Coturnix japonica: one gene and its partners. The protein of the gene in region 3 purifies or fractionates together with the protein of the main gene of each other region. This does not show direct contact. Links are inferred from orthologs where the notes say so. Each region holds a gene or a part of one and is shown on either strand. Other genes may lie near its edges.

Region 1 (4,304 bases), on a different chromosome or scaffold from region 3:
GCTGGCAAAGTCAACAAGATAAGTTACACAAATATTAAGAAGAAACTGTAACAGATAAAAACAAATATCAAAAAATGGGAAGAAAGCACTCACAGTTTTTGACATTGATAACTGTGAGTTAATTTCATTTGTAATGTCAACTGTGCTAGCAAGTCCCATGGCTAGACCTGTATCGGATCATAGCAGCTCCAAATATCACATTAACTAAGGTACAGATTGAGACACAGGCAAGAGAGCACTAGCTCACACAGCCGGTTCAGCACAAACTATGGCCTGATTTCTAAGCACTTAACTTGCAGGATACAGGGTCAGCCAGGTGCCTCACAAAGAGGCAATGCCACAGCTAAGGAGTGCATCAGGCATACAAACAATTACAGATACCAAAGGTAGGGTAGGGAATGCATCTCCAATCCCACTTCAGAACTCCCACTTCTAACCTTCAGCCTTGCTGTAGGAGGGAACATGTTGCCGGCTCAGCCCACTCTACCCTATCTGGGCCAGAGCACCCTACGGGGAGACAACAACCCACCTGTGAGCCCTGTAAGGCTGCAGGCAATGCATTACAACCTCACACTGGGCACCAATTTTCAACAAAAATTGATCCATTCAAAAGAAGTACATCCACAGTACTCAAGCTTTCCACAAGATTCAAGAATCACAGAATCACAGAATGACCCGGGTTGGAAGGGACCTCAAGGGTCATGTAGTTCCAACCCCCCTGCCTGGCAGGGCCACCAAACATACACATTTACTAGATCAGGTTGCCCAGAAGAAGCCTAGGAACTCTTGGCAACCTGGTGCTCAGGCCTTTGTACTGAAGAATACAAACCAAAGTATATTTTTAGACCCTGTCTGTAGGTTTAAAGGATCTTTTCTGCACTTCCTGTTTTAGAGCCCTCCTTCGACTCTGACTTGAAAAAACACAAGCATTTGATGCATTTAGCACTGAAAGCACATAAAAATGACTATGCAATACAAGACATCTTGCTCAAAACATTGACTGACTTTATTATGAGATGATCTAACACACAATGTATGGTGATAGGTTAAAAACACAGGTGCAACATAGATTTAAAAACAAAAAAAAAACCCATCTAAGTCATAATACAAAGTGAGATAAACAAACTAAGATGATGCACCATTTAAGAATACAGCACTTTGTAATAAGTGCACCACAGATTTTGCTTTTTAATGAGTCATTGTGTACTCAAAGGCAGACGATTGCTCAGAACCAAAGATAAGCAGACGCTGGCAGATATTGGAAGAATATTTTGTATACATGGCAATACATATTCATGATGAAAATCTAATTAAATGTGTAAAATTCTCTTTCCAACAGATAAAGATACGAAACATTTCTTCCATTTAAATCAAAAGGATCTCCATTAGCAAATAAAAACCAGAATTGCTGCTTCTTCCTTATCTGTCATAAATAAAAACAGCTTCCACAACGTCAAGGTTGCCAGTTTTTTCATTGTATTTATCAAAACATAGTGACTTACAGAGGACAGCCACGGCTCCAGATTCAAACATGAGACATTCTTCTCTGTTTCTGGCTTCCACTATCACGCTGAACGGGAGCGGATCCAGCTTGTGATAGACACGATATCCTTTACTGAAAGCCATTTTGCCTTTATCGCTGGCAGTCCTGTCCAACACAAGATGATGTTAGTGAGAGCTTCCTGTGCTTCCAGATACCTTCTGCAGAACAGGTCTGACTTCCATTCTTTCCTAAGAATTTTACAGATCTAACAACAAAAAAGAGAAAAAGAAGAAAAGAGATGCTCACTCTTTCTAGTTCATGAGATTTACTTTATGTTTCAAAACAAATATATCTAAAGATAGCTTAAAGACAACATGCCAGCATTGCAAAAACATAATTGCCCAGAGCAGCACAAAGGATTTATTTAAGATCTCCTCCAGAACAACCAGAATTTCTTTTGCAATACCTAAACCAGACTCAGAGAAACTGGAGATGAGGTTCTCCTTTAGTCGCCACAAACACATTAGAGCAGCAGCAACCTTCTGCTGAACACAGAGGGCCAGGAGCTTCAGTTTTACGATGCCTTTTGCTCATGCTGACCTTGTATAAAAGGACACTACATTTCAAACAGTAAAGCTGCTAAGAGGCTTTGGAATAACATACAGAGACGATAACCTACTGCTTGGTTTCTCTTTATAAACGAACGCGGAGCTCCGTCTGGACTTAAGCCCTCCCTCGCAGCGGCTGACGATTAGAAAATCGCAGCACCGCACGAGAGAGACCGCTGACAAGCCATAAAGGTAACACCTTCCTTCGGAGCAATGAAAAAAAGCAATACCAAACCACAAAACACCAGCAGCCCACCGATATATCAGGGGCTGAAGGAATGCACAGAGCATAGAGGAGCGGCTAGAAAGCAGCGAACATGCTCCATTCCCGCAGCCCCACGCCGGTAACCTGAGGGCTGACAGCGGCACCGACCTTCCGCCCCCTCATACGACACAGGCAGGAGCGGCCGGCCAAGGAGCCGGCACCGGTCGAGCAGCCCCCGCCCCTCCACCTGCCCGGCGCCCGCGGCGCTGACAGAGCCTCCATCTTGTCTGGCGCCCGCGGCGCCCCCGCAGCCCGACACCCGCCACGGCGACAGCCGAGCGGGCTCCTCCCGTACCGACAGCCGCCCGCGGTGCCGCCGACCCGCCCCAATACCGGCCCCGCAGCTCCTCACCGGCCGCCACAGCTGCCGCCCGCTGCGCTCCCTGCCGCGGGAGCCGGCGGCACCTCACTTCCGCTCCGGCCCCTCCGTCCCTTCCGCATTGCGCCGCCCGCCACCGGAAGGCACGGGGAGGCGGCGGAGCCATGGTGGATGTTATGGCCGTGCTACCTTGGGGCGGTGAGGAGGGGGATGTGTGTCAGGACGGGGCTGGAGCCGAGCCCTTAGGGACAAGTATCCAGCAGGTTGAAGGAGGTGATCCTCCCCCTCTCCTCCCCCTCTGCTCTGCCTCATCTGGAATATTGTGTCCAGTTCTGGGCTCCCCAGTACAAAAAAGACAGGGATCTCTTGGAAAGAGTCCAGCGGAGGGCCACTAAGATGGTGAAGGGCCTGGAGCATCTCCCCTATGAGGAGAGACTTAGGGAACTGGGTCTGTTTAGCCTTGAGAAAAGAAGGCTGAGAGGGGACTTGATCCAGGTTTATAAATACCTGAGGTGTGGGAGCCATAGTGGCGAGGCTGGTCTCTTTTCAGTAGTGCGTGGGGACAGGACTAGGGGTAATGGGATGAAAGTACAGCATAGGAAGTTCCGCACGAATGTGCGGAAGAACTTCTTTACAGTGAGGGTGACGGAGCACTGGAACAGGCTGCCCAGGGAGGTGGTGGAGTCTCCTTCTCTGGAGATATTCAAGACCCGCCTGGACGCCTACCTGTGTGACGTGGTGTAGGGAGCCTGCTTTGGCAGGGGGGTTGGACTCGATGATCTCTAGAGGTCCCTTCCAACCCCTACAATTCTGTGATTCTGTGAAGTAGTACCCCTGCCCATTAAGCTGACTCTCTTGAAGGTAGGGAGGTCTTACAGAGAGACCTTGACAAATGGGAGGGCTGGGCAGTCACTGACTGCGTGGAGCTGAACAAGAGGAAATGCCAGAGGTACTTGGCAAGGTGTCACTAAAATCTTAAGGCAGAAAATAAGACAGTGCTCGAGAGCTTTGTTGAAATTTAGGCTATGAAAAGATGGGTTTACATATGTATGAAAAATATCACACTGAGTCTTGGAGATACATCTGTTATATGATACATTTCTGTTATGAAAACAGAATCACAGAATTACAGAATTATCAAGGTTGGAAAAGACCTAGAAGATCATATAGTTCAACCATTACCAATACTTCCCGGCTAAACCATATTCATCAACACAACATCCACATGTTTATTGAACACTCCCATGGTCGGTGACTCCACCACCTCCCTGGGCAGTGCATTCCAATGCCTGACTACCTTAGACATTTAAATATGTGCATGAAGCACAAAAGTGGAGTCAATGGGACAGGTCACATATATGAAGAAAAACAAACTTACCTCATGGTTTGGAGCAGAGACTTAAGTGGTCGGCTCTTGGATTATTAAGTGTGTTTATTGTTGTAGGCGTTAGTGAGGACTCTGTCTGCGATGAGGCAGGAACCCCCTTGTAAACAAACCTCCCTTTTATCACAATTCAGAATGTCCCCCAATTTTACATGCAATGTTATACATCTTCCCTGTTTCTAAACGATGCTAACTACCTAAAGAGGTTACTACATCTCAAGAGTTCCCATAGAATTTTGAGTATA
Region 2 (4,308 bases), on a different chromosome or scaffold from region 3:
ATTAGCAGCAACTAAGAAGCCTTCGTGTGCAGGAAGAAAAAAAGATATTTGTTTGGGAAGATACATAAGTAAACACCGATTGCAGTCAGCAACACTCCACTGTGCTTTGAGGCTTTGCATGTGTGGGATTCAGCGCTGCTGCAAGATGTCAGCAGCAGCCCTGGGCTGAAGTCCTGCACAGCCAGAGCCTGGGGCTGGCACAGGGACCAGCAGGTTGTCCTGCTGCATGAACACAGCTTGATCATTTGGAATGAGTTTGACAGGTATGGAGGGGAAAGCCAGCCCAGCCCCTCTACTGAACATCTCTACCAAGCACATCATGCAGCACAACTGCATCAGCTGCTGTTTGCATGCAGACCTCCGAGCACTCTGAGCAGCTCATCAGCACCCTAATTCCACGTGCAGTGAGCAGCTGCTGCACCACCATCCCAGCACCAGGCTGGAGATGTGACATATGCCACGGCCACACTAACAATGACATTTGTACACAGCAGGCCACAGTTCCTCCTCACGCCACTAGCACAATGAGGAGCCATGCTTATTCTGTTCTTCCATAGCTGCTGCTTGTGTTTTTCAACCCTACACAAAACAGTAACACGATGCATTACAGGCTCCCAGTGCTATTCTAGAAGGTTTAGGTTTTGCAGCATACACACATATATTCTGTGTAAGATGCCTCACGTTACCAGTCTCTAATCCAGGCAGCATTCAATGCTATCAAATGGAAAAGGACCTCCTCCCTTCGACATGATTTTAATTTCCAGCCTAATTATTTCCCTTATACGCTTTGCTATGGACAGCTTCACACAGCTCCTGCTCTGGGGACCCACCATTACTGCATTCCCTATAAGCCACCATAGCACACTGCTGGAGAGACTGACGGGTCACTGAGGCCACAGGTCCTGCCAGGAATCATCCACAAAATGGAAACCAGGAGCACAATTTCATTCCCTTGCCCTCCAGCAGGCAGACACTCCCCAGCTCCCATTGATCCCAGTGGAGATGACCATGACCCCATTATGTTTTCTCAGCCTCAAAGAAAGGGGCAGCACACCCCAACCACCATCCCTCAACAAACCCTCCTGCAGTCCTGCAGCCATCCAGCACACTGCAGCACTGCCTGCACAGATCCTCTAAAAAGGATTTACGAGGTCAGGCTGCCAGTACTTAGAAAGCATGAAAACAGCAGAGCCAACAGGTGAACCCGCTGTGCTTACATGCTCCAGGAGACCCCTCCTCCCCTTCAGTAAGCTGTGGGGCTGCAAATCTTCCCCTTCATGGGTAGGAATTTGTACTTTTGTCTGGGTTAGTGAACAAAAAGGTGGATCCCGGTGACATGAGGCTCAGTGAAACGCATTCATGCAATGTCCTTCCCTGCAGGACTCCCAGGATCTCTGGGGGATATTGCATAGACTGAAGGATCAGAAAGGATCCCAAATGTTGGATGTGTTTCTGTATCTTAAACAAATCTTGCTCCTGCTGTATCTGGCTCAGAGAAAGCACAATCCTGTGCCTTCAGCCCATGTATGCAGCACTGCTCGAGGCACAGGAACAGAATTTGGGGGGCTTGCAGGTAAACAAACAACTCGTACACACTGCAGACCTCCCTCACAAGCTGTTCTGTATTGTATGTTTAAACAGAAAGAGGAGAATGGTGGGAGAACAGCATCCCACAGCCATTGTCATCAATACAGCTTTCTGATAAAGAAAAGCCCACGCAAGCATTGAGCAGGTATCACAGCAGCTGCTGCTTTCAGGCAAGGCAACAGCAAGCTGCTTACAGCATCACAAAATACCTTGATAGCTAAACCTGCGTATGGCTGAATGCAATTAATTAAGGAGGTCAGCACAGCTGAGGAACAACCCCTCCCCAGGTGTTGTGTGTCGGAGCGGATCACGGCGCTGCCATTGACTCAAGTTGCAGATGATGAATGCGAAGGTCACATGAAGGGAAGGCAGCGGTGCATCGCCTGCCACAAAATGGTAGCAGCGGGGATGCGGGCACGTCCTTCCCGCAGCTCCAGACGCGGCACCCAACGCGGATCACACCGACCCTCAGCCTCACGCACACCCGAGGGGGCACCTGACCGGGGGTGGGGGGATGATTCGGGGCCGTTCCGCTCCGTTATGTAACGGGGGCTCCCTCCAGCCCCGAGCTGCGGCAATGCCGGGGGCTCCGCCGCGGATCCCTCCCCCTGCTCGCCCCGCAGCGCCCCGCACTGCGCGCACCCCGCGGCTCTCGCAATGCACCGCACCGCCCGTGCGCCCAACGGCTCCGCCGCGTGCAGCCGGCAGCTCCGTGCCCTACACCGCACTATACACACACACATCGCTCTCCGTGCCCTACACCGCACTATACACACACACATCGCATCGCTCAAGCACCCGGCGGCTTCTCCCGTGCCGCCCCTCCCGCACACCCCGCGGCTGTGCCGCACGCACCGCCCGCAGCTCCGCTCACAGCCCGCAGCTCTCCCCGCTCCGTTACCTGCCGACGAAATTCTCCAGCACCGAGCTCTTGCCGGCGCTCTGCCCTCCGACCACAGCGATCTGCGGCAGGTCGAGGTTCGCGTTCTGCCCGATGGCGGCGAAGGCGTCCTGCAGCCGGTTGACCAGCGGGATCAGATCTTCCATCCCGCGGTTCCCCATGGTGGCGGCGTGGCTCCTCTCTCCCTCTGACCGCCCGCTTCAGCTCTAACAGCGCCGGGTACCGACCCTCCCCGCCCGGCCGCAGGGCTCCAGCCCGCTCCGCTCCGCTCGACGCCGCCCGGGCTCAGCTCAGCTCTGCTCCGTGCGAGCCGCCGCAGTGGGGCGCTTTAAAGCTGCAGACGCTGCTCTGCACGATGGGAGTTGTAGTTTGTGAGGGGCTGCATCACAGAACTCACAGCGGGGGGATGGAGCACCGAAACCTGCGATAGATTCCAAGCTGTGCAATTCGTGTTAATGTTTTAATTGTTATCTTAATGTGTTTTAATGCAGAAGTTGATGCTGCCCCTTTGTAGAGGTCAAAGCAAAGACCAAAAGGCATCAGGCATTTAAAGAGCGATGTCACCTTCCTCTATGGGTCAGAGCTGGTGTTTAGGGCACTCCATACCACACGGATCTTTAAAGCATTATACAAAGAACCATGAGAAGGAAATTGCTTTGTTCCTAGAAGTTGGCATAACCTGAAGTTTAAGCACATGGTTCAGTTTACTGCTGGTAAACTACCTGACTACACCACTGCAACAGTATCCTGTAATACAATAGCTATGCTAATGAGCCTTGATGACTAATTAGCGTCATCTGAAGCTTCTGTGCTCCTAGGTGCTCTATTTAAAGTCAGACCAGTATTGACTTCCAACTCAGTCATATCCCTGTATGCCTATAGAGCTACATGATTCTCCTCCAACATAGATGCTGTTATCTTAGTATTAGTTATATTTCATTGTTAACCTGTTTGCTTAGAAATCAACGGTCCTATTGCTAGTTTTCCTACTGATCTTACACCTGCCCTATCACTGCTGCTTGCTTTGATTGGGCCTCTGTTGGATGCAGTGGCACCAGGAGCTGGTTGGTAAGGCTGCCTTGTCAGCTCTGAGATTCACCTGCTAGATCCTTCTTCGCTTTTGGAGAACCCTGTTGTACAGTGACAGCAATGAAAAGATGGTAGTAAATACCCAAAAGGTTACTTACAGGAAAAACTCACCCATATGGAAGCCTTCAGTCTGCTGGGAACTGCTGAGGCAACCTCCACCAAGCAGCAGCCTCCAAGAGATGCTGCCTTAGTGGTGGTCAGCCCTTAAATGAGGTCTGGAGGAGGTGGAGTCGAGCTCCATCCCATCCGGGAGCACAGCTCCATTACTGCCACCTGTGCTCCCAGAGCTGACCCCACACTCACCTCAGCTGATTAATCAGAGGTTCAGGCTGTGATTACCAATTTCCCATCCACCTGTTCTTGCTGCCTGCTGACATCAATGCTTATTGCCTCATTAATGCTTATAGGGACTTGACTTTTTTCCTTCCCTTGCACTCATCCCTATGAATCCACACCTGCCTCTAATGCTCCTATTACATTAATGATGTGTGATTGTGACCACTGCAGCTTTTGTGATGCAGTGATATTGCTGGATTTTGCACAGATCTCTTAGCAGAGAGATCAGTGTTATCAATATCATGATAATATTATCAATGTTATTATATATCTCAGTATTAGTGGAACTCTTACAGAGGTTTAAAGAATAAGTTCTTGCATCCTCAGCTTTGCAGTTGCACTCTGGGAGAAATAAGAGTACAGTGTGCGCCTGCAGTGTTACTCCTACAAGAACT
Region 3 (3,508 bases):
AGAACAACTGACTTTCACAGGCTTTGAAAATTTTAGTCAAGCCGAATGGGCATCAGACTGGAGCACAGTGCTATACACACAAAATATGCTTTCCAGAACAAGTGTGAAATCAAGCAATAGGAGGAATAGCTGCACCATTTTACTTATAGGCAAAGAACAGCTTATAGGAGGATGCTCCCTTTCCTCTGAGAGCTTTACTGCAAAGGTCCTACAACACAGCACTTTCACAATCAAATGCAAAGAAAAGTAAAACAAAAATCTCAAAACAATTCCTCCGGATAGTCAAATAGAGAACATAACTAGTTAATTATTTTCTCCAACAGCAAATATTTTCTGTAATAATAGGGAAATAACAGTAAATAAACAAACAAACAAAATCTATTTTATCTTGGCTTTAAATCAGTGGCCTAGAGAAATAAACTGGAGATATGAAATGATGCTTTTAGTAGTGGTGTTTTGTTAGCAACAGATAGTTAGTTTACCATAAATACTGAACAATGAAAAGTGTTTTTTTTAATCTTTTTTAAAGAAAATGGGAGGTGCTGGAGTCACTATCTGTGGAGGTGTGCAAGAAATGCTTAGATGCTGTGCTGAGTGACATGGTTTAGTGGGAAATGTTGGTGAAAGTGGACAGTTGGACTGGACGATCTTGGAGGTCTTTTCCAACTTTGGTGATTCTAAGATTCCCATAAATCCACAAACAAGTAATAAACATTTACCTGTTACTTGCTTGTCTGGAAGAGATGGGATTGGAATGGCTAATCCAAATTTAACCAGGAGACGTTCGTACAACCAGTCAAAGTGCTTGTATCTGTGGTTGACAGATCGATTAGTGTTCTGTAAGAGAAACACAACTCTGAATTCTGACAGGCAACTACAGATAGCAACATGAAACAAGTGTGACCAGTAAATATGTGGAACGTGAAATAAAACTTACAATGTAGAGCCTTGAATCTACAGTTACAGAACTAAAACCGCTAGGAAATAAAGTTACTCTTTGGGGAAAACTGGTGTCAACCATCATTTACAACTCAGTTACCAACTTGAACAAACTTATTTGTCTGTACTAATGACCCACATTTGTGAAAGAGCCTGTTTCAGATACACTTACAGTGCAGGTCAGCTGATACTCAATGTAGCTCTTGAGACCGTACATTTTTGAACCTTTTTTGGGATCTGCTACCACACAATCAAACGTAGAGGTAGGATAAACCCACATTGGGCCATAATCACCAATCTGTAAGAAATTGCAAATATTACTGTTTTTAATTGAATACATGACATCGTACCAGCTGCAAACAAGGAAACAAATACATTCCATATATCAACAAAGAATATTTCCAAAACAGTTTCTAACTCTTCATTTAAAAATTAGCCTAAGAATCAGGAAACACAGGGGTTTCCTGCAGCTAGAGATCATTTACCACAGTTGTATTTAAGTATTTTTATATATACATATTTTTTTTTTCCAAATAATTAAGGAGCATTGTAGGTATTACGACCTCGACCACATTTCACTATAATAGTATAGATCTAGAACAGTCAGTTTGTTAGATCAGCAGATGAACTCATCATCATGACTGAATATAGGAAACCTTCATGAATGTACTTCACATGAGGCAACTATCTAGAAAGCTGAGACAGGGTAATGCATTTTCTGCCCTCTCCATATCAACAAGGCTTGTTTTTCACATTCATAAATAATGCAGGTAAGAAAAATGCTATTAAAAATAATTTTGAAAACATTAGTACACTTAGAAGAGTTAAGACTCTGAGTCTGAAATAACCTTCAGTGATAAAGGACTCTGAAATGTGGTCTATTGTGACTTTAAGTGGTGTACAGTTTCACAATGACAGTGACATTTCTAATTATGTATTAAGCACTGATTTTGTCTAACCCAGATACATTTAACAACCCTGAGGCTAAAAGTTAACCTGGGTAAGAAGGGAAGTGGAAAGAATCTAAAAAATGAAACAAAACAAAAAACCAACACCTAAAACAAGTCAGAAATCAGCTACCACCCTGCTAGAAATAGAAATAACCAAACAAAAATACAGCCAACCCACTAAACAAAAGTCACACGCACTTATCCACCTCCGACTTACGATAATGGGAATCTTCTCTTTTGGTTTTGCTAGCTGCTTTGCCAATAAATACTGTTCCATTCCAGGTTTTGCAAATCCAGGAAATCTAACCAAAACAAAGCGATAAGTTTACTTTGCATCCTATTTCAATATGTGCAGAATACACCACCACTAAGAAAAACACTTAGCATTTCTCAAAAACAGAAAAAAATTGTGACAGGTTACCAACTGTTCACCCAGAAGGAGAGAAGTTTGAGCTGCTAATCTCCATCTTTTGTCTGTGTAATACAGGCCCCTTCTTGCATGACATGTAGTTAGTTGTGATCTGCAGTCCACCAGAGCAAATGTAATAGTAGGGCATGCACTAACATTTGCCATGCCATTCATTGCAGCCCATACTTTGCAGATGCATACATGCAATTACACACATGCACACCTTGCTGTTTCAGACAATGAGAATTCAATCATCTGAAATAACAATGGAGTGCAGATTTAAAAAGTACTTCTAAGCATGAGTTGAAATAATTTGTCCACTAATTAGAAAAAAAATGCATAAAAATCACTGTAGCATCCTTAAAGCCTGTGCAAGGGCTTTATGAGTAGCAAACAGTGGTTCTCTTTTTAATTAAGAAGATACTTAGCTCTTGAAGTATCAATAATCTACTATTTGCTTGAAGATACACTGCAAGTTTGACATACTTTTCAGACAAATGCTTTTAAATTATTTTTATGCTGGTCATACTGAATAGATTTGCAACTAGTAGATGCCACACTGCAGCATAACTGAACAAAATGTCCACTGATGAACAAAATCAACCATCTGTGAATGACTAGTCACTATGAACTTAACCAACAGTACGTCCAGAAATACAGAGCTTGTAAAAGCATTATTTGTTTGCATAATGTCTCCAAAAATAGTTTTGTGATGTACTTCCAGATTTTCTTGAATCTACATTATCTAATCACATAGACCCAATACTTAATCCACATATATTTTTACCCCCCAAAATATTATTTACACTGCATATCTCAAGAAGGTTTAACAGCAACACATCTATGCTACTTGAAAAATTCCAGTTCTCATCAATATAGACACATCTGTTCTGTATTTTCCATTACTTGTTAAGTGGTAGCTTCATAGCAGCTGCACGAGAGTTTCCACGTTGGGACCCCCCAGCCTCTGAAGACTCAGTTTCCTTGTAACCAAGGTAAGATGGTGAAGACGATTTTGGGTCATCCCAGTCATCATCCCAATCATCGTCATCAGCAGCTGCTGAAGTGGAAAGGAAGGGTTAAGACAGTTACACACTTTCTGTTTAGAAAGCAGAAGCACACTCCTCAGCACTCATACACGAATAATCAACAAGGTAAATATAGTGAAGAGCTATAGCTGGATCTTGTATTTTTTTATTCTTCTTCAGTC

Evidence for each region.
Region 1: the proteins of SNX9 (region 3) and SYNJ1 purify together in Homo sapiens (co-immunoprecipitation; 3 studies listed by BioGRID and IntAct, counting the BioPlex papers as one, with this or other methods). This does not show direct contact. The link is inferred for Coturnix japonica from reciprocal best matches to the Homo sapiens genes SNX9 and SYNJ1.
Region 2: the proteins of SNX9 (region 3) and DNM1 purify together in Homo sapiens (co-immunoprecipitation; 6 studies listed by BioGRID and IntAct, counting the BioPlex papers as one, with this or other methods). This does not show direct contact. The link is inferred for Coturnix japonica from reciprocal best matches to the Homo sapiens genes SNX9 and DNM1.

The regions. Positions count from the first base shown.
Region 1 is NC_029516.1:94,512,717-94,517,020, forward strand, and holds the start of SYNJ1 (synaptojanin-1), read right to left. Parts: upstream 2,803-4,304; 5' UTR 2,798-2,802; coding exon 2,709-2,797; intron 1,649-2,708; coding exon 1,503-1,648; intron 1-1,502. UniProt on the Homo sapiens protein: Phosphatase that acts on various phosphoinositides, including phosphatidylinositol 4-phosphate, phosphatidylinositol (4,5)-bisphosphate and phosphatidylinositol (3,4,5)-trisphosphate. Has a role in clathrin-mediated endocytosis.
Region 2 is NC_029532.1:3,809,464-3,813,771, forward strand, and holds the start of DNM1 (dynamin-1), read right to left. Parts: upstream 2,803-4,308; 5' UTR 2,650-2,802; coding exon 2,489-2,649; intron 1-2,488. UniProt on the Homo sapiens protein: Catalyzes the hydrolysis of GTP and utilizes this energy to mediate vesicle scission and participates in many forms of endocytosis, such as clathrin-mediated endocytosis or synaptic vesicle endocytosis as well as rapid endocytosis (RE).
Region 3 is NC_029518.1:46,790,621-46,794,128, reverse strand, and holds part of SNX9 (sorting nexin-9), read right to left. Parts: intron 3,359-3,508; coding exon 3,205-3,358; intron 2,192-3,204; coding exon 2,107-2,191; intron 1,238-2,106; coding exon 1,112-1,237; intron 838-1,111; coding exon 720-837; intron 1-719. UniProt on the Homo sapiens protein: Involved in endocytosis and intracellular vesicle trafficking, both during interphase and at the end of mitosis. Required for efficient progress through mitosis and cytokinesis. Required for normal formation of the cleavage furrow at the end of mitosis.